Kluyveromyces lactis: one gene and its partners. The protein of the gene in region 7 interacts with the protein of the main gene of each other region in a pairwise test. Links are inferred from orthologs where the notes say so. Each region holds a gene or a part of one and is shown on either strand. Other genes may lie near its edges. The genes, in order: SLA1, SSN8, BBC1, RVS167, NBP2, AIM2 and APP1.

The links.
Region 1: the proteins of APP1 (region 7) and SLA1 interact in binary tests that used the Saccharomyces cerevisiae proteins (3 or more experiments, as listed by UniProt). The link is inferred for Kluyveromyces lactis from reciprocal best matches to the Saccharomyces cerevisiae genes APP1 and SLA1.
Region 2: the proteins of APP1 (region 7) and SSN8 interact in a two-hybrid assay, tested with the Saccharomyces cerevisiae proteins (2 studies listed by BioGRID). The link is inferred for Kluyveromyces lactis from reciprocal best matches to the Saccharomyces cerevisiae genes APP1 and SSN8.
Region 3: the proteins of APP1 (region 7) and BBC1 interact in binary tests that used the Saccharomyces cerevisiae proteins (3 or more experiments, as listed by UniProt). The link is inferred for Kluyveromyces lactis from reciprocal best matches to the Saccharomyces cerevisiae genes APP1 and BBC1.
Region 4: the proteins of APP1 (region 7) and RVS167 interact in binary tests that used the Saccharomyces cerevisiae proteins (3 or more experiments, as listed by UniProt). The link is inferred for Kluyveromyces lactis from reciprocal best matches to the Saccharomyces cerevisiae genes APP1 and RVS167.
Region 5: the proteins of APP1 (region 7) and NBP2 interact in a two-hybrid assay, tested with the Saccharomyces cerevisiae proteins (2 studies listed by BioGRID). The link is inferred for Kluyveromyces lactis from reciprocal best matches to the Saccharomyces cerevisiae genes APP1 and NBP2.
Region 6: the proteins of APP1 (region 7) and AIM2 interact in a two-hybrid assay, tested with the Saccharomyces cerevisiae proteins (2 studies listed by BioGRID). The link is inferred for Kluyveromyces lactis from reciprocal best matches to the Saccharomyces cerevisiae genes APP1 and AIM2.

The regions. Positions count from the first base shown.
Region 1 is NC_006037.1:445,569-450,853, reverse strand, and holds the start of SLA1 (cytoskeletal protein-binding protein SLA1), read left to right. Parts: upstream 1-2,066; coding exon 2,067-5,285. Other genes in the region: SCL1 (proteasome core particle subunit alpha 1), read right to left, coding at 1-456; 2-hydroxy-palmitic acid dioxygenase MPO1, read left to right, coding at 743-1,264. UniProt on the Saccharomyces cerevisiae protein: Component of the PAN1 actin cytoskeleton-regulatory complex required for the internalization of endosomes during actin-coupled endocytosis. The complex links the site of endocytosis to the cell membrane-associated actin cytoskeleton.
Region 2 is NC_006041.1:737,243-741,210, reverse strand, and holds SSN8 (cyclin-dependent protein serine/threonine kinase regulator SSN8), read left to right. Parts: upstream 1-2,485; coding exon 2,486-3,400; downstream 3,401-3,968. Other genes in the region: ICE2 (Ice2p), read left to right, coding at 1-998. UniProt on the Saccharomyces cerevisiae protein: Component of the SRB8-11 complex. The SRB8-11 complex is a regulatory module of the Mediator complex which is itself involved in regulation of basal and activated RNA polymerase II-dependent transcription.
Region 3 is NC_006042.1:1,351,202-1,356,511, reverse strand, and holds BBC1 (Bbc1p), read left to right. Parts: upstream 1-2,160; coding exon 2,161-4,716; downstream 4,717-5,310. Other genes in the region: clathrin light chain CLC1, read left to right, coding at 1-654; PEX35 (Pex35p), read right to left, coding at 838-1,875; pseudouridine synthase PUS6, read right to left, coding at 4,875-5,310. UniProt on the Saccharomyces cerevisiae protein: Involved in the regulation of actin cytoskeleton.
Region 4 is NC_006041.1:279,878-284,046, forward strand, and holds RVS167 (amphiphysin), read left to right. Parts: upstream 1-1,665; coding exon 1,666-2,952; downstream 2,953-4,169. Other genes in the region: CIN10 (Cin10p), read right to left, coding at 1-710. UniProt on the Saccharomyces cerevisiae protein: Component of a cytoskeletal structure that is required for the formation of endocytic vesicles at the plasma membrane level.
Region 5 is NC_006040.1:1,429,930-1,433,493, reverse strand, and holds NBP2 (adaptor protein NBP2), read left to right. Parts: upstream 1-1,857; coding exon 1,858-2,541; downstream 2,542-3,564. Other genes in the region: SLS1 (Sls1p), read left to right, coding at 1-697; U2-type spliceosomal complex subunit CWC15, read right to left, coding at 854-1,417; ACL4 (Acl4p), read right to left, coding at 2,694-3,564. UniProt on the Saccharomyces cerevisiae protein: Negatively regulates the high-osmolarity glycerol (HOG) pathway through its negative regulation of the HOG1 kinase activity. Mediates the binding between the PTC1 phosphatase and the PBS2 MAP/ERK kinase (MEK).
Region 6 is NC_006037.1:303,183-307,030, reverse strand, and holds AIM2 (protein AIM2), read left to right. Parts: upstream 1-2,167; coding exon 2,168-2,914; downstream 2,915-3,848. Other genes in the region: KLLA0_A03399g (fungal specific transcription factor domain-containing protein), read right to left, coding at 1-1,415; flavin adenine dinucleotide transporter FLC2, read right to left, coding at 3,212-3,848.
Region 7 is NC_006039.1:1,165,338-1,170,167, forward strand, and holds APP1 (phosphatidate phosphatase APP1), read left to right. Parts: upstream 1-2,286; coding exon 2,287-3,996; downstream 3,997-4,830. Other genes in the region: putative ATPase ECM3, read right to left, coding at 1-755; translation machinery-associated protein TMA46, read right to left, coding at 4,166-4,830. UniProt on the Saccharomyces cerevisiae protein: Mg(2+)-dependent phosphatidate (PA) phosphatase which catalyzes the dephosphorylation of PA to yield diacylglycerol. May play a role in vesicular trafficking through its PAP activity at cortical actin patches.

The DNA of each region.
Region 1 (5,285 bases), on a different chromosome or scaffold from region 7:
GTCACATTTGAAAATAGCAGGTCCTGTTTCCTCATCGTACGAAATAAAAGTCAAAATAATCCCTAATGGTCTCATGTAAGCTCTTTGTGTGTATATTTGCGACAAATTGGCCATTCTTTTAGCTAGTACGGAGCATGGGATATCATACCCATATTTATAACGAAACTCACTAGCTTCGGCTTTACATCTCAATGCAATATTTCTGGCATCTGGAACCGGTCCTGTGGCACAGAACCCGATATGTCTTGCCACTGGGAAAATATAGCTAACCGTCTTAGGATCTAAAAGCTTATCTGGGACTTTCTTCTGGCTAATTACCACAGAGGCGGTCTTGGACCTGATGGCTATTGAGTTTAGATTAGGTTGATTGGCCGCTTTGAAGGCATACTCGACTTGGTAAAGACGACCTTCTGGAGAGAAAATAGTAATGTGACGATCGTAACCTGCAGCAGACATAGGATATGTGGTTATAGGGATTCCCAATTGACGATTGAGATTCAGTAGTTACAGGAAGATCAATGAGTTGCCAGGTTCTTCGTATATCTTGGTAAAGGTAACTGTAGTGCGTTGATGTGTTTGCCACCAAAATTATTTAAAAGTTGAAATTAGAGTTAAAATTGAAATGAAATATTAAGGAAGGGGAAGACAACTGAGATAATGCAATCAATAAGAAAAAAAACAGCAACATCAAAAAACACAAGCAAAGCATCCGTGTTACGGTTTTGCGCTACCAAGTCTCAGAATGAGTCCCAGTCTTCTAGATCTAGAGACGCAACTAGCGTTCTACAAAGCTTATCATAACAATACTGGGAATGTGTTAATTCATAGCATTTTTGTCCCAACGATTCTCTTTACATCCATGCGTATATTGAACGACGTTAAGATCTGGAATGGCTATACCTTGACTCATTTGTTAGCGTTGTCATTTGGGTTGTTCTATATACTGTTACGAGTAGGTACCGGAATCCTTGCGTCGTTGATATTGGCACTGACGTGCAAATTTTTGAACGACGGGACTATTAAGATGACACAGACCACTGCCTGGATATTATTTGTGATCAGTTGGATCTTCCAGTTCATTGGCCACGGTGTTTTCGAGAAGCGCAAACCTGCGCTTCTCGATAACTTGGTGCAAAGTCTTGTGCTAGCGCCATACTTCATCCTTTACGAATTACTATTTATTTTAGGGTTCATGCCTGAACTTAAGAAGAATCTACAAGCTCGTGTTGACAAAGAGCTAGATCGTATGAGAGCGAGTAAATAAACTTAACCTCCGTTCGCCTAAACAGTATATATGCTCTATTTATGACTTCTATGATGATGACAATAACGATACTTGAACCCATGATGGAATTGAAACATCAATCACGTGATATAGAAATGATCTCTTTTTTTTCTTCTTTCTATCAGATCTCTGCGATTCGCAGTCACATGACTAGAACTGGGCAAGAACCCCTTTTTATTTCCAGATCCGGGATCACCGTATCATCATGTACGAAACACAACCCCGGGTAACCAAAGGATCACAGAAAAACAATTCGAAAACTGCAGGTTCTTGTACCACACTGCCAGGAACCGGTGCTGCGTGCTGTCGGTATTTTCATTTGTTCTTTTTCTGAGTGAAAATGAGAGAATCAGAAAATGAGAAAAGATTAGGCCCAAAATAATTGAATAAGTCTATCAATATACTTAGAACATATATAAATATATATATGTCTATACATATATAAGTAATTCGTATAAACAAGTTTTAGCTTGAATTGGGTTAGAAAGGCCAGACAAACTCTTGAGGTTTAGATAGAGTGCGCGAGTTGCATTGCAATTGTGCAAAAGAGAAAAAAAAAAACCAATCAAAACGGAGAAATAAAAGGAAATAGCATAATACCGAAAAGAGACGACAAAAAGGAAGTGTCTCGTATTCCTGCATTCTTTTAGTTTTTGATTTCAATTTAGTTTGGATAATTAAATTTGATTGGCGATTTGTATAGGGATCCTCTTGGCCTTGTATACAATCTGGAAGCTTATAGGTCCTTTTACTTGGCTCCTGACGCATTTAAATACCTACAATGACGGTGTTTTTGGGTGTTTACCAGGCGCTTTACGATTATTCTGCGCAAACAGATGAGGAACTAACTGTCAAAGAGGGTGATCTATTGTATCTTTTAGAAAAATCTAGCATTGATGATTGGTGGACCGTTAAGAAGAGAGTTATCGGATCTGATCAGGATGAACCCGTAGGTTTGGTCCCCAAGACATATATTGAAGAGGCTCCAGTGATTGGGAGTGTAGTTGCGCTTTACGATTATGAACAAGTTCAGAATGCCAATGAGGAATTGGTATTCCATGAAAACGATACGTTCCAATTGTATGACGATAGGGATGCAGATTGGTTCTTGGTGAAGAATACCAAGAATTCAGAGGTTGGGTTTGTGCCAGGTAATTACGTGGAAAAACAATCGCAGCAAGCTGGAGGTCCCGCTGCAGGAGTTACACAGTCTAAGCACCAAGCCCCAGCTGTTCTACCCCTTTCTGAACTTCCAGCTCCACCTCAGAGGTTGGACAGAGTCAATTCTCAACCATCATTCAGAAGCGGATCTACCCCTGCTGGCGCTGCAAGTACAGCAGATGCTCCAGGAGCTCCATCTACATCGACACCACCACCAGCATCAAATGCAGGCGTTGCGTCTCATACAACTATGCCAGTTGATGTTTCACTGCTCCCTCCACCTCCAAAGAGAAACGATACGGCAACCACAGAAGTCCAGCGTGAGTCAGCAGTAGCAGAACCTCCAGCAATGCCTCAAAGACCTTCTAATACTGAACACCAAACAAGTTATCGTGATGACCCAAGAGACAATAATAGAACTTCCCAAATAACTAGAGATTATTCAGATGATGAGCGTGATTACGATTTCGATGACGATGAGGAAGATCAACCTCCACTGCCATCTAGAAATGGAAGACCTTCAGCCTCGACCGCTGAACATGTTTGGTCTGTTAGTGAGGTTGATGGTCGTAAGAAATGTAAAGCTACGTTGACTGTTTCTGCTGAACGTATTCATTTCTTCTCTGCAAAGACAAAAGTGGATCAAGAATGGGCAGTTAAAGATTTGATCAACTATAACAATGAAAAAAAGCATCTATTTCTTGAATTTAAAAACCCTTACATTAACTTGGAATTGCATACTGGCTCTAACGATCTGGCTAACGAGATCATGGGCGTCTTGGGTGAGATTAAAGGTGCCCAGACAGCAGTTGGGTTACGTGAAGTTGAAGCTGCTTCAAGGCCTGCCATGACCAAGAAAAGAGCTAAAGCTGTATATGACTTTTTCGCTAACTCTCCTGATGAACTCACCGTTAAAGAAGGCGACTACATTAATATCTTAGATGACAGGACTTCGAAAGACTGGTATATGTGTGAATCTGTAGAAACAGGTAAAAGAGGCATTGTCCCCGCACAATTTGTCGAAACACGCGGATCAGGCTCATCAAGGCCTTCTGATGAAAGCCCTTCTAGGAGTAAGTCTAAGACCAGATCCAGATCTAACACTTCTAACTTTACTCAAAATTTAGTTGGCAGCTGGAAAGAGGATGCTGATCAAGATGTATCGAAGAAAAAGTCTAAAACTTCGAGCTTTTTCTCCAAGAAGAAGAAAACTGATGATAAAGAGTTCCCTGATCCTAAAAAGGTTAGAATTTGGGTAGACAGAAGTGGTACTTTCAAAGTTGAAGCACAGTTTTTGGGCTGTGTCGATGGGAAGGTTAACTTACATAAGGTGAACGGTGTGAAAATTGCTGTTGCTGCAGACAAATTGTCCGAAGATGATATTTTGTATGTGGAAAGATTGACGGGTATGTCTATGGAGAAATTCAAACATAAACCCAAGAGTTCAAATAATGACAGTAGTGCAGTAAACGCAGAACGTGAAAGAAGAAGAAAGGCTAAGGAGCGTGAACGGGAACTTGAAGAAAGAGAACGTGATAGACAATTAAGAGAGCAAGAACTTAAAGAGTTAAAGAGGGCTAGAGATCTCTTGGAAAGCGAAAGAGAAAAGCTGAGGAGTGCACAAGACAAAGAACTGCCACCTGTGAAACCACCAAGACCAGGCAGTGAAGCAAGCAAAACGCACCCTGTCACAAAGAGCTCCAAGAATCCCGAATACGATTGGTTCGAATTTTTCTTGAATGCTGGTGTTGATGTCAACAATTGTCAACGCTACACCATTAATTTCGAAAGAGAGCAAATTAGTGAAGAAATCTTGCCAGATATCGAGCCTTCTTTATTAAGAAACTTAGGTCTACGTGAAGGTGACATTTTAAGAGTAATGAAGTATCTAGATAACAAGTTTGGCAGAACAAAGGAGGCTTCTCCATCAACTGGATTGTTTACTGAAGCCGATGGATCCTTGAAGGTTAACCATACAGGTGCTCCCGCATCTGCAGGCGTATCTCATAATCTATTACCAGATAGTAATTCATCGAATAGAGATGATGATGCATGGACTGTTAGACCTGCTGCTAAAGCCAGCGACAGCTCCAACAAGGCTCAGGATTTCTCTGGGTCACTTCAAGATTTGCTTGATTTGCAACCTTTAGAGCCGAAGAAGAAAGAAACACCAGCTCCAGATGTCAAGCATCTAGAATCTGTCACCACTAACGGTTCGAATAAAAAGGAAGAAACCCCTCTGTCAGCAAATAAGACGGGTACTTCTTTGGTTCCATTAGATCCATTCAAAACTGGTGGTAATAATCTAATCCCTATTACTACAGGGGGATTCATTATGATGCCAGTAGCAACAGGCGGTTTAATGCCATTCCAACCGACTGGGGGGCTAGTACCTCTGCAAAGGACTGGAGGTATGATTGCACCTCAAACAACGTTTGGTATGCAACCAACAGGTACTGTCTTGCCAGTTCAAAAGACTGCGAACGGTTTGATACCAGCGAACACTGGAGGGTTGATGCCACAAACGACGTTTGGTGTACAACCCCAAACAGCATTCCCCGCTACAACCTTTGGTTCAAGTATCACAGGAGGCGCAATGCCTTTACAAAGGACTGGTGGTGCCTTACCTCCTACTTCCTTCAACACGCAAATGCCCGGTGCAATGCCATTGCAATCAACTAACACATTTGGTAATCAATTAACTGGAGGTGCTAATTTGCTGCCTTCCACCACTTTTGGAAACCAATTTACTGGAGGTGCTAATCTACAACCTGCTACCACTTTCGGAAACCAATTCACAGGAGGTGCGAATATACAGCCGGCTACTACCTTTGGGAAC
Region 2 (3,968 bases), on a different chromosome or scaffold from region 7:
AGCTATCATTGATACATTCGACTCCAGTGTTCACTCTACTGGAGGGTGTTTTCACCATTCTCGCCATTCAAGCCATAGGGGAGACAGAGAGATGGCTCAAGATGTCTAGAAGAAGTAATCAATGGGTTATTCTGAGTTTGTTGATCAGTGGGGGAATTATTACGCTATCACTATTTTACTTTTACAGAATATATGTCACTCCAATGTGGGAACTCTCCACACCAAGTGCTTCACTACTTGGGTTCACATTCTCAATTGTTTGTGGTATCGGATTATATGGTATAAACGGATCAGGGTCAGTGATGGAAAGCTCGTTGTTTTTTGCTTATATGGTTCGCAATGTTTACGAAATAAGTCCTAAGATGGCGATGAATGCCATGGACGAAATATTCGATATCGTTAAGGAAACATGGAAAATCCATCAGGCTAATTTGCCCAAGAAGGATAATCTTTTGGAACTCATGACTAAAAATTATCGCGCCATCTGGAGTCAGATAGTAGAACACACGCCTCGGAACCATAAATATATTAAAATGATGGACCAATGTAAATGGATTCTAAATCCTTTGTGGAACTCAGTGAAGAATTTCACTAAAAGCGTACCGATAAGTATCCAAGAAATATTCGTTGTGACATTCAAGATGGCCAAAGAAAGTCTAATACCAGCAGTTGTAATAAATTTAGTGTTCAGACTACTGATATTTTACAGTGCAACACGTATTATACCGACATTGCAGAGAAATACAAAAGAACGTAGAAGTTTCAGAAGAATAATGAATTTTGTGTACTGGTATTCACCATGCATCATTATTGCAATGTACACGCATTTGATTCTACGGTATAGCGGTCAATTGAAAAATGATCTCTGTATATGGGGATGTTTCCCATACGAAACAGAGCCAAAGATCGTGGTTGATTCATGGTCCTTTTGGAATTGGTGCAACATTTATTCAACCATGTTGATTTATGCATTAGAACTTATGGGTAGTAACAAGTAGAAAACCATCTGATGATCAGTTCACGATCAGAAATAAAAAGCCTCTTTTACTCCAGGGCAGAAATAGAAGATAGCTATGTAACATTAGAGGTGAGCAGCTTGAGACAAAGTTAGATATGGATAGGAAGATCACTTTTTGTGCCACGTTATGTAGTTCAGCTGATAGATAGAAATGGTAGGTAGTAGTTCCGTAAATGGAAAGCAAAGAAATACAAGAGATACTTACTCGATGGGAAAACCACACTAACAAGTAGATGATTCTAGTACTACACATGTTTACAACTCATAGCAAATGGTTAGCCGGACTCATACTAGATGGTGCGGTGCTAACAGCGTTCAAGAAAAAATCAAAACAGAGAAGATACATACAGTACTACTCTAGACCGCAGTCAATAACTCTTCTTTATCATCAAGGAAATTTGATCAGTACGTTTGTAAAAAGCAAGTCTCGTCCATGCTATATAAGCTCAGAGCTTGACTCTATGTTGCATTGTTATTTCATCACGTTAAAAATCCTAAAATGAAGAGGGAAAGATGACGGCTGGATCTTTTGAAATTCTTCCTTGTAGCACTTGATATGAGAGGATACTCAACTGAGTATAATCCAAGGCAATAAATGATACAATAATAAATAATCAGGGCAGCTTGGCATATTTGACTATGCGTAAGTATCGAAAAGTTCAAAATAAATTTGAAACGAATCCACTTCAAGCTGTTTGATGATTGAAAAAAGGATGGAGAGTTTCGTGAGCCGAGAAAGTAAGCTCCATTGGGTTACCCAAGCTACCTCCTCCCTAATCACCCCTGTAAACAGAAGTAACAAAAAAAGAGATAAAAACGCTCGGGCAATCGTCATAACTTTCGTTTAAAGTAAAGAAATACTTCAGTACCCAAGACACAGAGGCTTCTAAAACAGCCTCTGGATAGAAACCGTGACAGAAAACCAACACGATTAATGAGTTGATTTAAACATTTGAAAAGTTTTTAAATCTCATTACGTTTCCGCTTACGGACTGGTCGGAGACTTTCTACCCAAAGCTATAGAAATGATATCATTTCAATTGAACAGATAAAATCCGTTCCTTATGTAAGCTTCGATCAGTGACGATTCTTCGACTACAAAACCCTCGACTTACGAAACAAACAACAACAAAAGACAACACTAGAAAACATTTAATTAAAAGTAAGTGTTTGAAGTGCTGATGTTTGGTTCATATAGTTGAATGTTTAACTTTTTTCCAAAAAATTTTCAAAAAGGTTACCCGACTTCTTAACGACCTGAAATTTAGGGCTGCAACGGTCAGCTTATCATAATGTACTTGATGATGAATTGAAGAATAGCGAACGGTAAGGTAGTAAGAACCGAATCGGGTTAGGTACTTTGAACAAAGGATTCCGACAACAAAAGGCAGTACAAATTTCACTGGAGGATAAAAAATACCTTTCCCCCCCTTATTCATTGAACAGCTAGAAGATTATCTTTCCAAAATGAGCGCCTCATACTGGGATTCGAGTCAGAGGCACAAGTGGAAGTATACTAGGGAATCCTTGGCTAAGGAGAAGCAGAAACTCTGGCTGTTGGAATGCCAATTATTCCCACAAGGTTTGAATGTTACGATTCACGATTCGAAGGCGAACAAGCAGGTGACGACAAACATTCCGGTTACACAGCGAGATCTGCATTATGATCGAGACTACAATTTGAGGATATACTGCTATTTCCTTATAATGAAGTTGGGCAGGAGGCTCAATATACGGCAGTGTGCACTTGTTACAGCACATGTTTATTTGAGCCGATTTTTGCTTCGAGCTAGTGTCAGGGAAGTGAACCTGTATCTTTTAATCACCACCTGCATCTATTTGGCTTGCAAAGTGGAAGAATGTCCGCAGCATATAAGAACGCTAGTCAACGAGGCGAGGTCTCTATGGCCAGAGTTTATTCCACCGGATGTGACAAAAGTGACCGAGTTTGAGTTTTATTTAATCGAGGAATTGCAATCATATTTGATTGTACACCATCCGTACCGGTCTCTAGAACAGATCGAGAAGGCATTATCATCCGAAAAGTACAACTATAAACTCTCAGACGATGAGCTTCAGAAAATATGGTCGTTGATTAACGATAGTTATACGACCGATGTCCATTTACTCTATTCACCGCACGTGATCGCCATAAGTTGTCTATTTGCAGTGTCTTGCATCATTCACAAGCCAGAGGACAGTACAAAGCGTGCTAACATCAACATGTTCATCGCTGAAACTCAAGTTAATTTGGAACAAGTGATGTTTATCCTTCAAGAACTCATATCACTATACGACCATTGGGACAAATACAATGAACTGCGGATCAGAGCGCTCCTACACGAGTTATACCTCCGTCAACAAACACCAGCAATTCAGTGATTCTGAAGCCGAAAAGATTTCGTTCAGTTCACACCTGTACATACATAACAAATTACGTAGCATTCAAGATCAACCACGCATCAAGGATATATCGCATAAGAACGAAATGAAATTATATTGGACAACTCACGGAAGAATCACAGAAATGCAGACACTGAGAAATATACACATTGTACGCACAAAAAAAATTTAGTTCGCAATCACAGTCAACTAGAGGACAAGTAGAAGCCTCACTCCAAGAGCTGCATTTGCAACTTCTATTTCTCTTTAACACCAAAAATATCTTTGGCGAAGCGATATCTGCCAAATAATCTAGAGCTATTCATGCGCAGAAAAGAAAAAAAAAAGTGAACGAACGGCAATATGATTTCGAGAGTTAAACATGAAACTCGAAATCAAATCTTAACTAACAATGTTAACGTGTATTTATAAAGAGTAGAAGTAGGAAAAGTGGAAGCACAAGTTCAAAAGAAAGCGAGTCCAAAAGTTTAGTGAAGCAGAAGCAGAGTGTCTGTCATTTCATTATTCTGTGAGGTTCCCGCATTGTATATTAGTTAGGATACCATCT
Region 3 (5,310 bases), on a different chromosome or scaffold from region 7:
GTGCAAGATGGATTTGTTACTGGAGATGGTGACGAAACAGAGTTTCTAAGAAGAGAAGCCGAGATCTTAGGTGATGAATTCAAGACAGAGCAAGACTCCGAGCTTCTAAGTAAGGACGACTCTGATTCAAAAACTCTTGGAACATCTGTCAATGAAGCAGATGCCATTGCAGCAGCATCATATCAACCACAAGACGTCGAAGGTGTATCGAACCCGGTAGAAGAAGAAGAAGACGACGACGAATTCGGAGAACCACAGAGTAGTTCTGCTGAGCCTGTTGTAAGAGGGAAGTCCGAGGCTTTGGAAAACTGGAAAGCTAGACGTGAGCTTGAAATTTCTGAAAGAGATCAAGCTGAAGATAAGGCCAAGGCAGACTTACAAGAGGAAGCTGCAAAACATATTGATGATTTCTATGAAAACTATAACATTAAGAAGCAACAGGGAATTGATCAAACTCAAAAAGAAGCTGAAGAATTCCTTGCTAAGACTCATGCTTTTGCCTCTCAAGATTTGACTGTTTGGGACAAAGCTCTTCAGTTGATCAACTTGGAGGATGCTGACATTGTAGATGGCAGAGATAGATCCAAATTCAAGGAAATCCTACAAAGGTTGAAGGGAAATGGATCCGCTCCAGGCGCCACTGGTCAAAAATAAGTGCTCTTAACGTTAGAAACGTACGAATCGTGATATATATATATATACGTATGTATACGGGATCTGTGTATAGATCAACATATGCGTAACATTTATATACACACCGACACGAAAAGACTCTAATTAGAAAAGGAACACACGCATATTGATACAAATCAAACTAGGAACAAATCAGTCTGTTTATTAGGCAATTGGGTTCCTGGTTAGATATGAGAGACTAAGGGCAGCGAAAATGATTGGTTTTTGATAATGTGGTATCCTACCAAGTTCTTGAGATAACGTTGATCTCCCCAAGTATTTGAGTAGCTCCCAGTTAATATCTAAATGTTGTGGGTCGCTCAGCAAAGTGAATGACAACATGATGATGATCGATTTATGTAATGGCTTTAGACATTTGGAATGTTGACCGTTGAAGATTAACATCACCACCTGTCTCCAGAGCGTCCATTTTACACATTTGATAAAATTGTCACTGAAGAAATAACCATACACTCGTTCTTTGACCGACCCGCTTGATTTCTTATCGGATAACTCATTTAACTCTTCTAACCTTTGCATGAGTATCCTTGTCATTGAACCATGTTGTGTCTGAGATTCCTTTGCCTCTGAATCGAACGTCATTGAGGAAGTATTCACTTTATTCTTCTTAAGCTTCTCTTTCAAAAGGATGGATTTCACATTCTTATAAGTCTTGACGACATTCCATGCGACAAATAACAAAAGGAAGTCCTTCCAAGGTTTTCTAGTCTCGAATAATATCCTGTATAATCTCCCCTTCGATTGATTTCTGTGGTATAGGATTGGTATCAAGAGACTAGCTGCCAATTGCCTGAGAAGAATCCAACGGCGTTCGCTTATACTGGAATAATCAACCCAGAGCTTGATTTGATCTACAACAGATTCTACAGCCCAGTATGAAACAATCCAATGCGGTAGCTTAGCCTTGAGCTGCGAGAGACCAATCGTTAAACCCAGGAACCAGCTGGCATGTCTTTGACGAATTATCCTTCTCAGTAACGGTATAGCAACAACGATAGGCAAACCATCGAATAATGAACTGGCCGTTAACTTCCGGTGCTTTTTTAACAATGCTATAAACCCATTAACACCAATAACTCCAACGATGCGACGATACAAAGCGTTTCTATCAATTTCCGAATCATAGTCGTACGCTAAAAATCGAATGAATCTCGCCAAACGAGTATTCGAATTCAATGTCATGCCTTATCCAATCAGTCATAAGTTCTGCAACCCTCACCTGCTGATTGAACGTTCATATATGCCTTTCAATTGACGTGAAGTCTATCATTCGTTCGTTATCTACCTTTCGGTGAAATCTAATCCTTTAAAATTGTTTGGAAAAATGTTACTAAAGCCTTTGAAATTAAAACGATTCCTTATATCGCGAACTTTTCACCACCCCTTTAACAAAGAACACTCGGCGAGTGAAATAAAAGGACCAGCTTACTAGAAGAACAGTTCTCGAAACTAGATTACGTGTTAAAGATGTCTGTGCCATTTAAGGTCGAGGCATTGTTTCCATACACCTCAGATTTTGAGGATGATTTACCATTTTCCAAAGGTCAGATCATTACGGTGCTTGAAATAGAAGACGATGAGTGGTTCTTTGGTGAGTTTAAGGATGCTGATGGTAAAACAAAGCAAGGTATTTTCCCCAAAGGTTTTGTTAGTGAACCTTTGAAGGAAACTGCTAGTGAGCCTGCTCAAGAGAAGCAGCCAGAGGAGAAACCAAATGTGGAAACTCCGGTCAAGATTCCGGAAACACAGACTGTCAATCCAAATGCTGCAGCTGCAACTGCACCAGTCCAGAAGGGAAAGGTTTCTCAGGATAATGTCAGACAGTTGAGAAATAGTCTGTCGTTTCAAGAAGGTTCTGGTGATACTGAGAGGAGTGGTTTTGTTAATAGCGATGATTTGGTAAAGGAGGCTAAGTCGGAATCTAAAATGTCCTTGCAGCAAAGGATATCCATGTTACAGCATATGCAGAAACAACAACAGGAACAGGCGGAAACTTTGCATAAGCGGAAAAAAAGTATTTCTAGTGTGTCGTCCCCAACCGGCAGCGTTGCTACTGCTAGTGCAACTTCTCCAGTTAATATTGAAAAAAGGGAAAGTTATGATGCCTCTGTTATTGAAGATTCCGATGCTGAAAATCCAGAAGTTGATGTCAGTACTTCTAGCATTCACACAGCTCCACCAATTCCTAATGATACTGCTTCAATTGGCTCTCACCCTCAGCGTACCTACTCTATTCCTGAGGAGTCAGTTAACGAGAATGACGATCGTGATGATAATGATGAAAATGAATCTTCTGAAGACGAAAATGAAGAGGAACAAAGACGTGCTGCTTTAAGAGAAAAGATGGCAAGACTAGCAAATGCAAGTAGATACGGTATGCCTAATGCGTACTTCAACCCATTTGGAATGCCAATGCCTTCTGCTGACTCTTCGAAGACCCCAACCAAAAGCAAGAAACCAAAGGAAGAATCTGAAAGTCCAACTGAAACGTCATCTCTTCCAACAGCGGTTCCTGTCATGCCATTTGCCGACCCATCGATGCTGCCAATGTTTAGGAAGAAGACTGAAGAAATTGCTGTGGAAACTTCTGGTCATGCCGAAACCCCAGAAAATCAAGCTGACGAAGAAAGCGAATCTAGCTTTGTAGATGGAGTCGATGATGCTCAACCTGCTATTACAGGTTCGGTGAATTACGACAAAGACCCAGACTTCCAACATAAAGATGAAGTACCCGAGGGAAGTCAAGGCCTTTCTGGATATGAATCCGAAGATGAAACTACTAAGAAAGTGGAAGATGAAGAAGAGGAGGCTCCGTCGCCAACTGTTCCTCAAAGAATTAGGCCCACTCATGTTTATACAATTGATACTTCTCCGGGATCCCCACAAACTCCACAAACTCCACAAGCTACTAACGCCCCACAAAAATTGCCCGCAGCCCCTCCAATTCCATCTGCTCCTTCCGTCCCGCCAATTCCAACAGGTGCACCAATTCCTCCTGTTCCTTCAAGCGTACCTGTACCACCATTACCAACAAAGGCTCCAGCACCAGTTTTAAGCGTTAAAACCGAAAACACTGAGCAGAAACTGCCAACAAAACAGCCCGCTGCTGCCCCTGCTCCTCCAGTACCAAGCAGTGGCGGCCCTCCACCATTGCCTCCTTCTAATGCACCGCAACGAAGACCTTCAATTCAGACTATTCCAGGTGCAGCAAACTCATCACCAGCCACTCCTTCATCTGCTGCTCCACAAATTCCGGCCAGTTTCCAGCCATTAAGACGGACAACTACGGCGAAATTTGAACCAGGTACTATTCCAGAATTAGAGTTCTCAAAGCAAAGTACTTGGTGGTTAACTAAGACAGTTCAGGCTGATACTGTTAAACCAAGCAAAGTAAAATACATCTGGGAATCTCAGGATCACATAGTTGAAAGAAGGAATACAAATAAGTTGGTTGTCAGAGATTTCCAGTTCTTGTTCGAAGATTACTCTCAAATTCAAGCATATGTTGTATATGATCCAAAGAATCCAATTGAGACAGCAATTTCCCATCAGGACTATATTCCCTCCTCATCACAAAGTACTGGTAGTGATCTGTTAATCAAAACAATTTACGAAAACAGTAACAAATGTGTTGGTAAAGCTTGTCATTCATTTATTCCTCAAATATTGGGTCCAATAGATAATCTAGTCCCACCAATTGCTCAAAGAACTTACGGTATCACCGTTTTTGAACATGCTTATAACACCGCAATAGATGAAGCTGCGCTAGGAAAATTGGTACCAGGTTTGATACTTGTTGCAAGAAACGCTGAATTTACCTTTGACGATGGTTTAACGTACAGCTTGGGAATAGAAACGCCGTTTGTGGCCATTCTAAAATCTGTGGATCTTGAAACTCAATCTTTATCAGTGATTGAAGAGCTTGGTGGTGAGTGCAAAGTATCTATGTATCCACTTGAAAACTTGACTAAAGGAAAGTTAAAGGTGGCCAAGCCAGTACATCGCAAGGACATTGGTTGGTAAGAATGATACAAGGAAGTAAAACAAATTGACCTCTTGAAGAACAAATGCAAGAACACATATGCTGCTATTTGAATAAATATATAGTATATACAATATTGATTGAGAAGGATACTAAAAAAGTTAAATACATGAATAAAGAAACAACTCAAAACTTGATGTTAAGCTTGTTTCTCATTTTCGAACTTCGCCCAGTAGGGATAATCTGTTTCAAACTCCAAATCCAAACCTTTGTATCTCCAAGCATGTAGATATAGCTCTAACGATTCTGGAGTTGGATCTTTTGGCATTTCTTCGTCGCATTCAGGACATCGTTCTTGATTTTCATTCAATTGATCCCAGACATCATCCAGTTCAACCTCGAACCGCTTCCGTAGCTTTTCGATTCTTTCGTTTGTTAGTTGAGTCCAATCTGGGGTCTCAATAATAAACCTTGACCGTAATGGGTACGTTGAGTTATCAAGGTTATAAAACGGATCGTTTGTAATGGGGTGTCCCTGTCTTGCCAAATGGATACGAATTTGATGTGTTCTTCCCGTGAAAGGTTTGCATAATACAATTGATTGATCAGTTACGGCATCGTATTCCATTAATTCA
Region 4 (4,169 bases), on a different chromosome or scaffold from region 7:
GGAATAAAATCTAATGTCAACAGAAATACAATTGCTGGGATGGATCCTAGGGCGAAGAGATATCGCCAGGCTGCAGTTGATTGAGGGTGGTCATTGTCAATCATGAAATATGCAATGACATACGCCGCAAATTGCCCGCCAGTGATACTTATAGAGTTTAACGTAAGCATGGTGCCTCTTATCTTTGCCGGTGAAATTTCCGTTAAATATATTGGAATGCATTGAGCTGCGATGCCAACGGCTATACCAACGACCAGCCTACCGGTGACTAACATCTCGAAAGTGTAAGAAACTGCCATTAGCATCGATGAGGCAGCAAAAATGATGCAACAAACCGTTAACGTGTGTTTCCTACCGCATCTGTCAGCCAAGGGGAATGCTATTATCGATCCTATGAATGAACCAGCACATGTTATAGAAGTGATTATTTCCTTTTGCCAAATTTCCAAACTATGAAAGTTTAAATCCTTTGGATTCATTGCTATTAAAACCCCAGAAATTACACCAGTATCGTAACCGAAAAGCATCCCACCAATTGTCGAACTAACAAACATAATACCCGTCCTCCATGTGAATGGGTATGGTCGTTGTTCAATATCATTTGCAGTGGTGGTGGTCATCTGAGAGAAAGTGGAGTACAAATCCGAATACACATCTTCGACACTGCTATCTCGCTGCGGTGAGGAAGATCGTACAATATCGTCCACCATAATACGGTACCAGGTTAAGAGAATATATGCTGGATTTTGCTGTCCAACGGATTGTAAGAACGCCGCTCTATGAACAGATCGGTGGGATATTACAGCAAGTGTTTAAAGTTTGTAAATCTTTGTTCGAGCCTTGGAGTCAGAAAATGGTTTAAATCCCATTCGGTAATTTAAAGTGTCATTTACTATATTAAGACATTAAAATGAAAAGAGGACAAACAACATCTCCAATGACAGTAACTTCTCGAAACTACTTGTAATATCCATAACGAAACAACCGTTATGTAAAAATATACCTAACTTATATCCTACCAAGAATCTTGCTGCACTTTATGTACCTTGCTCCACAACTATTCTCAACCGAAGGGTACATTGACTATTAGCCTAGAGTCAGCAGGCCTAAAAAAAAACAAGGTCAAGCTTGCAGCATATTTGAGTGATACGCACTCAAATTACAACCAATAGGAGAACCAATGGGCGTTAATAACAGTATAGACCATCCCCTTAACTTTTCACAAGCCTACTGCTCAAATGCATTGGGCCAATTTCCGATGAACTAAGCCAAGCCTTTTTCCTTTCTGTACGCTTTTGCCGATGCACAATACAATTTCAAAAAAATTCAAACTTTGGACAATTTCAATTTCATCACTTTGGAAGGGCATGTAAAAGGGGCAAACTTGAAAGGCAACTGAAGCGGTATATATATCTAATCAGCGTGTCAACGAGTTGTCTGTTAGAGCAAATCTGAACTTAAATTAATCTTTCGAAGGACAAACAAGCGTCTTTGTCGAGGGAAAGAAAGTTAATTTATTATAAGGGCAAAGAGAGAGAGCACTCAAATAAAAAACACGAAGAACGTGAATTTAAACAGATAAAAAGCGTTAAGTTTTGAAGTTTAGAGCGTATACAGCGAATAAGAAAGCAAATAACAATCAATATATTTTCCCCCTAGAGAGTCATGTCGTTCAAAGGTTTTACAAAAGCTGTCGCCAGAGCACCCCAGTCTTTTAGGCAAAAACTGAACATGGGTCAGCAGACTGTTGATCCTGTTTATGAGGATGCTGATCGTCGTTTCAAGGAATTGGAATCGGAAACGAAGAAGTTGAGCGATGAGTCAAAGAGATATTTCAATGCCGTGAACGGTATGCTAGAGCATCAAATTGGATTTTCTAAGGCAATGTCGGAAATTTTCAAGCCAATTAGTGGTAAGATGTCCGATCCCAATGCCGCTGTGCCAGAAGACAATCCAGAAGGTATTGAAGCGAGTGAGCAGTACAGTGCAATTGTTTCTGAGTTGCAAGCTACTTTAAAGCCTGATCTAACTCTGATTGACGAGAAAATTGTTAAACCAGCACAAGAGCTTTTGAACATTATTAATTACATTAGAAAGATGTCCACCAAGAGAAACCATAAAAAGCTAGATTTGGATAGGAGCTTGAACACGTACAACAAATATGAACAAAAACAGAATCCAACGCCAAAGGATGAGGAGAAAAAATATAAAGCCGAGGCTCAAGTCGCCGTAATGCAACAAGAATACGACTACTACAACGATATGTTGAAAACTGAATTACCTATACTTTTCCAATTGGAATCAGAGTTCGTGAAACCATTATTTGTTTCATTCTACTACATGCAATTGAATATCTTCTACACCTTATACAACAGGTTCCAAGACATGAAGATCCCATACTTTGACCTGGATACTGACATCTTGGAGGCATTCCAAGCTAAAAGAGGCAACATTGAAGAGCAAACAGATGCACTAACCATTACTCATTTCAAGCTGGGATACTCGAAGGCCAAACTAGATTTAACCAGAAGAAGATATGGTGCTACTGACGACTCAAGTCCTGGAAGTCCAATGAGCCCACCCGCATACGGCCAAACATACGGTCAGCCTGAACAGCCACAACAGATGGGCTATGACTCAAAACTACAACAGCCGCAACAGCAACAACAGTATCCAATCGGAGGTGTTGCAGGTGCCGCTGGTATCGCAGGATACAATTCGGTGCCCACCACTGCGACCCAGGCATCATACACTCCTCCCACTAGTGCAGGAGTGGAGACATGTACCGCTTTATACGATTACACGGCCCAAGCCGAAGGTGATTTGACGTTCCCTGCTGGTGCCATAATCCAAGTCGTGGATCGTTCCGATGCAGCAGGATGGTGGGTCGGTGTCTACAATGGCGTCCAAGGTGTATTCCCTGGGAACTACGTCGAACTATCGAAACAATAATGAAAACAAAAGAAAACTAATCTCTTGGTCACTTTCCATTCCCTTTCTGCTGTGTATAGACTGAACTTGAAAAAAATAATAAAGCAAAAGAAAAGCTCTCCTAGCCTGTAGTTACTATATACTCTAACCTTGTTTAATTCAAGAATGCCCCATAGCTTTTAAAGGATACAGAATGCACATCACTATCGACGGAATTGACGATATTTGGTCACCTGGCAATAGTCAGACATTGCTTCATGGAGACGAAAGGGGTTCGTCAGAACCCCTGTCTACATGCCCCTATATTTCTACACATCACCAGTAGCAGAGCCAGCCACTAAAATCACACTGGTTTCCAAGCACACAGCAGGTAAGATGGAAAAGAATTCCATGAGAAAGTACACTAAGCCTTACTGCAGGAACAGAAAGAGATACGTCTCTATATATACTTAAAACCAGCTATGTATTTCAATGCAACAATTAGCTCCCACCATCACAACTGCTCCCACTGCAGTGCACACAACCAGAGCCTGAAAGCCCCCTCCCTTCAAAATACTTTGGATATCACTATCCCACTTCCTCCTTGCACGTCTCTTTCTAGAAGCCCTCTCGATCCTTTTTCAGTTTTTGGCTCATTTTTCATTGATGAACTTTATTTAGTTTCAAACATAATAAAGATAGCCAATCTTAGGAAACGCGAGAATGAAACGGAAAGTTTTAGGACAAGAAAAGCAGAAGTAAGTATTAAAGATAAGAGAAAGAGCCTGGCAAAACATAGCCGAGACCGTATTTTAGCCAAGTTATTATCTCAGTACTAGTGCTCTTTATCTAGTATTGTAGCTCCAGGGTTCTAATTTTCTGATTTTTATATTTCCTTGGAATCCCATTTTTTTTTTCTTCTTTATTTTCCAGTACTGGTTCTCTTTCTGATTTTCGAACGTTTTTAAAGGGCCAAATAACAGAAACTGAGGAACTGATATATTGAGAAAGAAGGACTAGTAAAGCACATCACCAAGAGATATAAACTGGCTGCATTATCATATTCAGAGACTAAAGTGTGAGAAGGAACCAAATAGAGACGCATAGAGAGAGTGATAGTAACGTAACTGCGCTGACTGGAGCTTTTATATTTAGGTTACCAAAAAAAGAAAAAAAATTAATAATAGCAGTTGCGAACAGAGGAGCAAAGTCGGTTTAAAGTGTAAGGATCCAATATCTTTTACCATTGGTACCGGCAT
Region 5 (3,564 bases), on a different chromosome or scaffold from region 7:
TTTGTTTCAATCCAAGATTCCGGAAGTGGTTCCTAAAGTTCTTCGACTACCTTTATGGGATAAAGACGGTTATGTGGAGGACGATTTATTCTCAGTTGATCAGCATCTATATTTGGTTCAAATGAAATTTGTTCCCAACTTAGCGGACGTTTCTCACAAGGTTAATGTTTCTCCTTTGGAAGTTTGGTTCACCTTGGATGAAAATAACAACGCTGATACTTCGACCGTCAGATGCATCCACACTTATTCGGATAATTCAGCTTGTATCCAAACTCCTACACTTTCTCATGACTTTAAAATCACAGTGACAGATACAGTGGATGCACTTCCAGAAGATTTGGAATCTTCAGAGTTTTTCGATTGGCTACAGAGGGAACAACCAAGCTTCAGGAAATTCTTACAGGAAAGTAATTTCTCTTTCGGAGGCTTGAAGAAGCCCCGCATTGCTCCTTCTTTTGAATTGAACGTGAAATTAGAAGGAATGGAAGAACCGCAAAAGATCAGATACAATTATTTGCATCGCTACGAACACCGTTTATTAAGATTCAAGTACAAAGAAGATTGTTTGGTACAACTCTCTGAAATTGAAGGCGGAAGCTTAGGAGGCAAAGCTTCATCTATTGATTTTATCAGCACTAACGGATCCATCAACAAGGACATCGTTAGAAATTTCATCGATGACGTTTTACAATTCTGAAATCATTCGAAATATTTTGGTCCTTAATGCATATATGTATAATTATACAAAGTCATCCTGTAAATAGTGCGGAAGAACAGATATATAGACTTCATTTAAGTTTTTGACGTACACCTGTCGATTGATTCTCCATAATAGAAAAATATTTAACATAAACTATTTTACATGCTTTCGTATAAATTCCTTATGATATTCGCTTTGAGTAATATTATTGACATATTTTCCCTTCCCATTTGAATTATGTTCAGATATACTTGCCGATTGATTGACTGTACCTTTACGTCCAAATACAGTGTTAGATCTCCAACCACCATGCTTTTGCGGTTTCGTCACTTCTTCATTTTGAGCTGCTGTGATTTCAGCACGCTGTTCTCTCAGTTTTTTGTCCAATCTTTCTTGCTTAACTTTATTCCACTCCTCTAATAGCGCTTCTTCATCTTCACTCTCCTCCTCCTCTTCCTCGTACTCATCGCTACTATCCGTGGCCTGTATCTCTTCATCTTTCGAGCATTCCTCTGCTCCAGTTATTTTGATTCTTTTCTTAGCCTCCTCACTCGGAGTACTTTCTACTTTACGATTCAACACCCTCTTCTTCGTGTTTCTATACTTAACCTCTTTGTGCCCCGGTAAAAGTCTAGCGTGCTGCGTCGAAGTAGGAATGTATTCTATATTCTTTGCCCCATTCCTGGCCTCTAGTTGAGGTCTGTGCGATGTAGTCATTTCAGAACACAGTCAATATTATATTCAATCTGTAGCACTCCACTGAAACTAACGTAAGCTTATCTACCATCCCAGGTACCAGTTAAATTAGCTCACCTGTTTTGCCTGTGAACAATCTCGTGAATGTGCGTTGATGTTCAATCTTTATAGCCTTGATATGAAAAAATAGCAATCTGAAACTTCAAATGCGAATCTACGTTAACAATTACCGTGTACCAAAGAAATAAGAACTACGAACGTCGTACTGGCAACTACATATAGCAAGCTACATTTCATACCAAACTTTTCTAAGAGGACATAGGACTTTATCATTTAATCATTTCCCGTGGAGCATTCGTTCACACTAGAAATATAGAACTGAACACATATTGAATGAGGCTTTGAACTTAGATCAAAGACGGTGAGATTTACTAATAACATCAGAAGACATAACTATCATAATGTCAGAATATGAGGTTGACCAAGAGGACGATATGGTTGGGTACATATCGATAAAAGATTACGCATATGACGAATCAAATCCGTTACATTTTGGTTATTTTGAAGAAGATGATGAAGATCAGAACAACCTTCGATTGAGTGGGAACAGAGAAAGTGTGTTACTACCAGATGATTATATCGTTAATAAGAGAGCCATAGCGATGTATGCTTTTGTCCCAGAAAATGATAACGAGTTGGAGTTGAAAGAAGGAGATGTCGTATATATAAGTTACAAGCATGGCCAAGGGTGGTTAGTGGCAGAAAATCACGATAGATCCAAGACAGGATTGGTACCGGAAGAGTATGTGCAGTTGATTGAAGACGATGGCGAAGACAACGGTAGGTATGAGAATCCTAGGCCGTTTTATCTTACTCAAATGATAACGCAGAGCATGTCTAATTATCACGATGATGATTGGGAAGACATAGAAGATGACGAGGAAGCTGAAGGACATAGTGATAAAGAGCACAGAAGTATACAGCGACCCAGTCAAGATTCAGTATCAGTTGATATAACGAACAACAATGGTGTTTCTCATGATAATAGAACTGTTCTTGAAAACGGAAAAACAGGCAGTACGTTAAATGAAAAGAGCGACGTATCAGAACTCGCGAAAGATATCAAGGAGAAATTGGATCTATAGCATTCTGTTTTCTGCGCTAAATATCTATATATTAGCTGCAATATTAATTAAATACTTTTCTAGTAATACGTTACAATAAAAGTCCCGTTAAGATGAAATGAAAGAATTGATCAAAAGCAGTTTAACATGAAGCCCGTGCCTGCATTCTTAGATCATTCAAGCTCGTTGATTTCGATTTCATCAATTTCTGTAACTTCCTCTCCACGTTTGAGTTTCATTAGTTCTGTTATATCAAGAGCACCACCAATTTCATTCAACAAGCCATGGACTCCTTGGATTATTTCCTTGGCCATTTCATCGTCGGACTCCGCATTTTCACTGAACTTAGAAGCAAAGCTCAAAGAAACACGCGCCTCGTAAATAATGTCCTTCAATGACTCATTCTTGATATCCAAAGGTAATTCTTGGACGTGGGAATTGAATTCGTAGATATTTTCAGGAGATAGTTGTAATGATTGGTTTTGTTGTTTAAACTGTTCTAATTTAGCCATCAAATAATATGTGAACCCTTCCAAGTAATAGCTCTCCAAATTGTCTTCGTCAATATCTTTGATCGCTGCTACTATTTGTAAACTTATCTCGTATAATCCCATTTCAATACACATTTTTGCTAACGAGATTGCTGGTTGTAGTAATTCAAGATATTCTGCATGGCTGGAAACGCTTTCCTCCGTTAATTGTTCTTCAATGGACTCTTTTTTCATTTGGAAGAATTCCCAGGCTTTTGTGAATGCTTCCGAAGCTTCACCGAATTTTTGTTGAGAAATCTTAATGGAACCTAGCACTGACCAAACCTCCGATGACTTACCTTCTGAAATTTCCATTGCCTTTGAAATTAACTCTTCGCATTCTGATTCTGCCTCCTTTTCCATACAAAGATCAGTCATCCATATTTCTATCATCGCAAGTAGCCCATTGACCATCATGTTTGCTTGTTCTTGAGAAAGAGAATCTCCGGCGATAGCTGATACGTTTTCAATCCCTTTCATAATGATAGAAATTCCATCTGGTCCACCCGTAATC
Region 6 (3,848 bases), on a different chromosome or scaffold from region 7:
AGGAGTTCAAGTTCTGCCTCATTTTGTTTAAGCATGTCCTTCTTATATAGACAAGAATATTCTTCCCAGCCATTTTTTTGGTCCATAATTCCAGGAATAGCCTGTACATTTGCAGTGGATTTCTGAGGTGTTCTACCCTTGACTGTAATTTCAAATCTTGATATTAGACAATAACATAACCATAATCGTCTTCTATAATTTTTATACCTAGGATCAATTCTCATGTTTCCAGTCGGTTCAAGAAATTGTGATGGATCCCTATCAAGACCCAGATCAGAAACCAAAGGTCCCATCATGCCAATAACACCTTCGGATGTTGAATCGTAGAATATACTACATAGGTCAGGTTGATGAGCAAGGATGTTCCAAAGCAGCATGTGCCAAGAAATAACTTCTTCAGTTCTTGACTGATAGATGTTCAATATCGACACTAATTCAGCGGCAGAAGATGTTAATTTTTTCTCCAGTTCTGCAAACCCTTCGATCCAAGCCCTGTCGCCATCGTATTTATGTTGAACATCCTGTTCCATAGCCCTTTGATCGAAAAGCCGTAGTTTCCAATGTGATATGGATAGTTGAAGTATTAGATAAAGAATAGAGATGTTCACTAACTTCATTTTGATATTAGTGGTACCGGGATTCACTATTATCCGCTCTGGATTATGTGAATCCATGTGGATCACTTCGTTAAGATTTTCTTCAAAGAGATCGATATCGATACATGGCCATATCGGGTAAATGTGGTGGTAGAAGTTATCCAAAAGTAGTCTAATATTGGGTAAAGAAGGCAAATCATTCTGTATTCTTCCAATATAAGCCAGTAGTATCGGAGAGTATTGTCCATAGAGACATTTATCCTCAATAAATCTAGGAGCAGTCATCGTGTTCAAAGTTGCTAAAAACAACTCGCTGTTGGAATTTTCTGAGGCTGGCTGATTTTGAGCAAGTATTTGTTCGATGAAAGCACTCACTTTCTTCTTCTTCAAAGGGTTCAATTTCTCGAATGCAGATGGGTTCAATTTAAGAATTTTGAGTATAGATGACACATTAAATTCCTGATAAGAATCGGGAGTCCCCAAATAAGTGTTCAGCGTCTTACGATACGGAGTTTGGAAAACAAATTTGATGAATATTGAAATATATGGATCAGGAAAAAGCATATAGTTGACAGCGAATGGACCAATATCTTCTCTAATAATACCCTTCGTGACGAGATGAGGAAACGACTCATAAAAATTTAGCCGTATACCATCGGTCTTAGCTAGATCCTTTGTCGCCGAAAGCCTAGCAACAGATGTCCGAATAGTCGTGGATACATTGCTGACGGGATCCTGCTCAGGCTCTATGCCAAGAGCAAGATTCCTCCAATATTCTACTTCCTTTTCCAATTCCTTCAACGTTGCATTTGTGCCCATTATCCACTCAATTGTCAAGGATGTACAAAAGAGCACCTCAAGTATATACTAGCAGTGCTTATGGAGATTATGTGTCACTAAATTTCAGATCGACACCACACGCGTCGACACTACCGTTCTGTAACCACTTTCTACAGTGCAATTATAGAAATGCCAAGATAAAGGCAATGCGATCAATTTTGGATTTTCCAAATGGTTGAATGTCAAAAAACCATCTTGCCGAAATCTGAAGAATCAAGTAAAAGAAGATGAGTTTTACAGTTTGCAGAGTAGTGTTGAGATGTGTAAGGTCTTTATAAGATTTTTATTCACCCATTAATTTTTCTTTTTTGACACTAGCTTTATTATTATGAACCGAACATTTGCCTTCGAGTTCGAAACTGAAAATTGTATCGTTTGAATGGTAGAGAACAACGAATTTCGATTGAAACCTTCTTATCGACACGGAGCTAACGTTTCAATTAGTAAGCTCACGCTAGCTATTTTGATTTATAAACTAGTAATCCAACCTTCAAGTCCTATCGTTTTTCCGTGCGCGTGTCTTCATGTTATCAACCATAACTGCCGGAACAAATCTTGCTTGCGGAGTAATTCCTATTTTTAAGAACGTTATATGTATATAAAGGGAAGAACTTTTTACTGGATTTAGGAAAAAGTCATGAGAAGCATTCAGTATACCTGTTGGATGTGAATGCTCAAGAGTGCTCGTATCTAATACTTGAATTGCCCAACAAGAAGTACAACGAAAAGAAATGGCTTCCAATCCTCCAGGTAAGTGCTGCGCTCAAGGTTTTTATCATGAAGGTACCCCAGCTGGTACCACTACTAGTCTTTATGGGTTCGAGACCTATGTGGCTGGGCCCGAATCCTTGAAGAATGAACATGTTTTGGTCATTGTAACAGATATTTACGGTATTAAGGTTAACAACGTTTTGCTAATCGCTGATCAATTGGCTGCAGCTGGGTTCAGAGTCTATGTACCAGATTTTTTGTTTAACGATGAAGTCGTAGCTTTGGACGGCTCTTTCGATTTCAAGTCTTGGCTAGAAAGGCACAGCGCCGAAAAGACCCACGGTCTAGTCCAAGATTTCTTGACCAAGTTGAAGGAGGACACTAACCCAAAGAAGATTGGTGTTATCGGTCACTGTTTCGGTGCCAAATACGCTTTATTACAAATCAATGAAAAAGTCGGTTTGGCTGATGCAGCTGCCCTTGCTCACCCATCATTCGTTGAGATCGAAGAAGTGGAAGCAGTTGGTAAAAAGCCAGTGCTGATTTCTGCAGCTGAAACTGATAACATCTTCCCTGAAGAATTAAGATATAAGACCGAAGAAGCTTTAAAAAAACAAGGCAGCTACTACCAAATCAATGTATTTGGCGGTGTTTCCCATGGGTTTGCTGTCAGAGGTGACTTAAGCATTCCAGCAGTGAGATATGCTCAAGACAAAACCATCGAAGACCAAATTTCATTCTTCAAATTCTTCTTCAATTGCATCTGAAAAGCTTAACTATATATCTGTTAGCTTTTGCAGGATGTAACTACATTTTCCTTTGATTTTTGAATGTTAAAGTTACGTTGTAAGTTTACATATGTATATTTAGTTCAACTATTCATTGCTTCCTTAATTGTTTGTTTCTCCGATGGCTAATATGCGCAACCACATGTGGGAGGAAGAATGCAAAAAGGTGCAGATGTTCATAGAATGTATATACATCTTAATTCTTAATGATTTCTTGTCTTGGAATTATTATACAATTGCTCGCGTTCTTGAATACCAGAGTGTATGTGTAAGAGCTTACAAATACGGTACATTGTCAGATTTATTATTCGTTTGTCTGGTAAAACTGTTGTAGCTTGGGTTTTCGTTCAAATATGGGTTGCTACCAGAGAAACCTTGATATTGTGTGTTAGCAGAGAAGGAGTTTTCCGGTTTCCTTAAATTTGTAGTGCTTGGAGCTGTTGGAACACGGTTATAACTCGTGGTATTGTCCCCCATGACGGCAGAACTTGGCTGCAATGGTTCGTTTCCGCTCGAAGAGTCAAATCTTCTAATACGAGATGAAGTATCGTATGTGGTATTAGAGTCGTCGATATCTTCATCAAACAATAATCTTGCAGAATTATTTGATTGTTTCATTTCAAATTCGTCTTTTAAAGGTGGTTCGTTAGTGTGCATAGCAGCTCTACCCAAATCGAACAATTCTCCTGTTTCACCCTTTGTTTGAACCTTTGGAATGAAAGAAACACGATCATCCTTCATTGGTTGGTAACGAGCATCTGGGTTCTTGTGAACCAAGGCCAACACACACGTAACAATAGTGAAGATCATGAGGAATAGTGCAAAAATAGCGTTCACGACAAATAGTATGACTGCCATAACACTGGAAACCACAGTAGGTTGTCTGAACAAGTTCGAGAAGAATAAAAATAAG
Region 7 (4,830 bases):
AGCGATGAACTGAGAGACTGGGCACTGGCCGCCGTTGCATTAGTAAGGCGCCTTGAAATTACATTATCCTCAGCAAGCTGTATTGGAGAAGTAACAGCTTCCTGAGAATTGATGGAATTTACAGCACGATCGTTTTCTTTTGAACAGAATGATTGTGAATCAGTTTGAAGATGAAACTGAGATGCATTAGATTGCGCAGGTGGTTCGAGTGGTGTCTGAATAGAGGCATTCTCCTCATCCGCGTACTCGAAATCCATTTCTATAAGTCTAAAGCCTCCTAAGTTGAAGATGCAAATCATAAACATGGCCAAGAAAATAATCACAGAAGCAATACCCTTATCTGCTTCTTCTTCTGTGAAAAGAAGACCTTGATCCATAGTTTGTAATATAGCGATTGGTAAATCACTGATATTTGGGAATGTCCCACCGGCTAATATACCACCACGCCATTTTTTCGGTACGGGAAGCACTTTCCTAACTACAAATGCAAAGAAAAGCCCTGTACCAAATATCATGACTGCCGTCAAACAAATGATACCGACATCCTTGGCATCCCTATAATCAATACTTGAAACGATTTTGTTAAATGATAGCGACGGTAGTAAGACCGTTAGAACGATATCTGAGCATGTCCGGGTTGCTGCGACGGTAAGGATATTCCCCTTAGCCAAACCAAACCCAGTCGCTATAATCATATAAATCTTAATAATAGGCTTCACTGAAGCCCAGATCGCTTCTCCTACAGTCAACCCCATATCGTGCTGCAAGTTTTATGCAATCTATAATTCATGTAACTTTTAATATCTTTAATAACTTCGAGATTATTATTCGAGTGAATATCTCCCGTGGTGTTATATGCTAATCCAAGTGTTTCCTCTCTCGTTTGTAAGACAACCTGGTCTTTTTATAAATAGTGTATTCTAGGATTCAAATACTGTCGATCAGTAGAGGAATTTCAGTAACGTTGTGCCACGGAAAAACCAACCTATTTAGATCTTTATCGAAGCAAATTGGAGTACCTGTTTAGGAAGTTCGCTCTAATTCTTGGCTTATGTGCAAAGCAAATATGTTACTCTTATATGCCAAAAAGATAATCAAAAAGAAAACAGAAGAAGTAGGCGCTGTACAATGTGAAGCCCTAAAAAGCGTTCTCACCAACACCTTGTTCCTTTCGCTTTCCAAACCAATTTATAGAAATACAACTATCTTTATATTATCGTGATCTCTGATAACTCATCGCTTAAAAAGCATTTTGCAGGCATTTTTCAATATGACTACGAGGAGAGGAGATAACTAAAAAAAAGTAGTTTTGCATCAACCTAGTTTCATGAATTACATAAACTAAAAGCCGGTGTTGCTGAATGATTGCGCAGCTGATGGTATCATTAATCTCTATGAGCTACCGGTTTCCTAATGCATCCCATGTAGCGTGATGAGAAAAGGGAAGGGCTGGAAGAGCTGAGCCATTTTGTGACCCATACTTTAATGTGGGATCGGGAATCTGCGACCGTTGTGTTTGCCCACGCTGAAATCTCTAAGAAGGTAGCGTGGGGATCGGAAGATAATCAACGCTTATATAAGCTGGAAGAATATTTTCATTCGAGTGGTAGAAAATACGGGTCACGTGTTTCACGTGACCCGAATTTTACATGCAGGTTATATTCTTGTTTAATTATACTTATGAAGTGCAGCACATACGGTTCAAGGAAGTCATATTCCAGTTGTTGCAGTATTTCAGCAAAACTTGATTTTTCATTTTCTTTCTTGTTGCTTGTTTTTTTGTTGGGACTATTGGGATGTGGAATCTTTATTATTATTTTTTTAAGGTTTTATAAAGGTTTAGTATCCAGGCTTTATACAAAAAGAACATGCAGATGAAGACATGATATAGAGACGCATTTTGGTTTTTGCCTTGAAATTACTGTATTTAACAAGGTCTAACACGCTTCAATAAGTGCCTTTGAATGAAATAATCATATTTTCTGCATTCGGTTAAGGGATAAATTATTATCTTTCCTTTGATCTCTGTTTTCTTCTCCTGGTTTTTTAATTGTGATTATTGACTCGGATCGTTTATCAGTGGACAGTTACAGGCGAACTGTTTAAAAGGGTCTTACAAGTCACAACTCAATACACAAACGTTGGAAACCCACCGTATTTAAAATATTTGCCGTTTTGTTGCCGTTGAATAGTGTTTTCAAAGATCAGAGAAGATCTGTCTCGATTTATAAGAAACTGCGTAGAAAGAGAACTCTTAAAGCGTTGAAATCGAAATTAAAGATATCTATGGACCCGTCTTTAGCTGCTGATGGATCCTCATGGGGTGCTAACGTGCCGTATGGTAGGAGACAGCGAATCTATAATATGGTGAAGCACACCAAGGATTCGTACTTCAATGCTGCCAAAAACTCTTTGAAGAACTATTACGGGAATGACATGTCACCTGCAGAGGCAAGGGCTTTAGAGTTTCAAATGTTCCCACCTAAGCTGCTTTGTTACCCATCATACTCAAGAAAACTATCGGATAGTATCTATGTCACAGAATTAAGAGGGTTGATATATTCTACCGGTCAACGAAGCAAAAGAAACAGTATTCTTTTGTCTATTTGCAAACAGTTTTTAAGAAACGATCCTCCACCTAACGTTGAACAAAGATTAGAATCTTTGCAAAACGATTCTAATATCTCGTTGGACAGTTCATCTACGACGTCATCATCCACAAGCTCAGGTCAACTGTCAATGGGAGATGGGGTTGCTCCCTTGACACAGGAACAAGTTTTAAGGCAAAGAATAGCGGGGTTCATGAATAAACATCTCCCGAACGTCAACCTTCTAACTACGCTGTATAACGGATCAAATGATAAGATGGATCAAATAACGGTCTCTGATAACTCTGGTGGGTTTAATATTTTACTCAGTACCGAATTTAAACCAGCTGGTGCAAAAGTTAAATGCTTGGAAACCGGGCTAGTCCAAGATTGCCAGATTTTTTATGTCGAAAACAGTGGAGTTGGACTTATTAGTGACATAGATGATACAATAAAACACACAGGTATTGTTGGAGATAAAAGATCGATCTTTTTGAACGTTTTTGTCAACGGATTTGAACAATGGAAAATTCAAGATATGCCATTATGGTATACGACATTAAAAGATAGCAAAGCAGTTGATTTCTTTTATGTATCAAATGCCCCTGCTCAGATATACCCAATATTATCGGAATATATTGGTGAAAACTATCCGTTAGGACCCATGTTCCTCAAACAGTATTCTGGTAACTTACTCTCAAGTATTATGAAATCCAGTGCACAGAGAAAGCTTGCATCAATATTGAAAATATGCAATGATTTCCCGAACAAAAAGTTCATTCTGGTAGGTGATTCCGGTGAGCAAGACCTCGAAGCTTACGTATCGGCTGCGAGTCAATTTCCAAAACAGATTATTGGAATATACATCAGATGTTGCAAGAATTCAATGAGTGATGAATCTGAAAATGACGTAAGAGTTATGAAAGCTTTAAATGATCATATTAAAAAGTTTTATTTAGACCAGATAAAGGAAGAAGATGATATCCCCGATTTAATCCAATTTGACTCAGATTCAGATTCAGATGTTGCCCCAGCTAAAACGGATAAAAAACAGCCTGTCAAAAAAAAGCCTCCACAGGTTCTAAAAAAGAAGCCAGTTTTGAGTGATGCTCTTCAGCGTGAAATTTCTGAATCTAAATCGTCTGGCACACAACCACCTTTACCTCCTAGAAAACCAACAAGACTAAAGATGCGCAGTATGGACAACGCTGTATATTCAATTCCATCCTCGCAGAATGATTATGGAACATATTCTGAGTTCTTTGATAAAAAGGCTGAAAGTTGGAATGAAAGAGTTAAAGTTGCTGTAAAAAAGTTAAAAGAAAACGACGTTAAAGCTAGCTTCATGTTTTTCAATGATCCCATTTTGTGCTTGGAAGATAGCATAAATAAAATTGATTCATTATGATAGGAAACTGGAAAATGATAAGTTAGAACATATATATTTCTCTTTGCAAATTGAGTATTAACTATATTTAATGACAAAATATTTATGTATGAATGACAAAGAGAATTTTTGAAATGAAGACAACCAACCATTGAAATATACAGCGTGTATGCAAGTGCTGTCCTTTTTCTCAGGCAGTAAGTGTAGTGCTTTGTTTAGATGGGCCATCTCTGCTAGGCAGTTCAAAAGTAGGATTACTACCATCACCATAATCTTTGATTCCACTAGATCCATTACTATCTTCATCTCTTAATGCTTTTGTGAACTCGGTCAAATCCCACGCTGAACCGTTCGTGGAATCAGTTTCATCGACGAGATCAAATCTCTTGTCTTCTGTATATTTCTTCAGCACGACTTCACGTCCACTAGGTTTTTTCTTCAAGTTATTCTCTTTTTCTAGATTGAGCCTTTCAATTCTGTGGTTCTTCTTCCATTCAGCAAAGTTGTCCATTGTAATTGGTGTCAAATTTCTCTTATCCAAGCGTTCCCTTTCGGTTTCGATGAATTCTTCCAAAGTGATCTTTGGCTTCTTCTCAAAGGCCTCCATTTCTAACCTCTTCTGTTCTTTAGTCTTTAATACGAATCCTTCCGGTAAGGAGTGCTTGTACATACATTTATCACCGCCGTTAGGACAAATCCAAAACCACCCGTACTTACCGTTTTCGACAGCTTCGATGAAATATTTACAAACCTTTTCAGTGGTTGTTCTAGGATTACCATGCTTGGACAAAATCACACTTCTCAACTTAGCTTCATCCCAATTGTCCATAGTATCTTCTTCCTTTTCACTTCTTG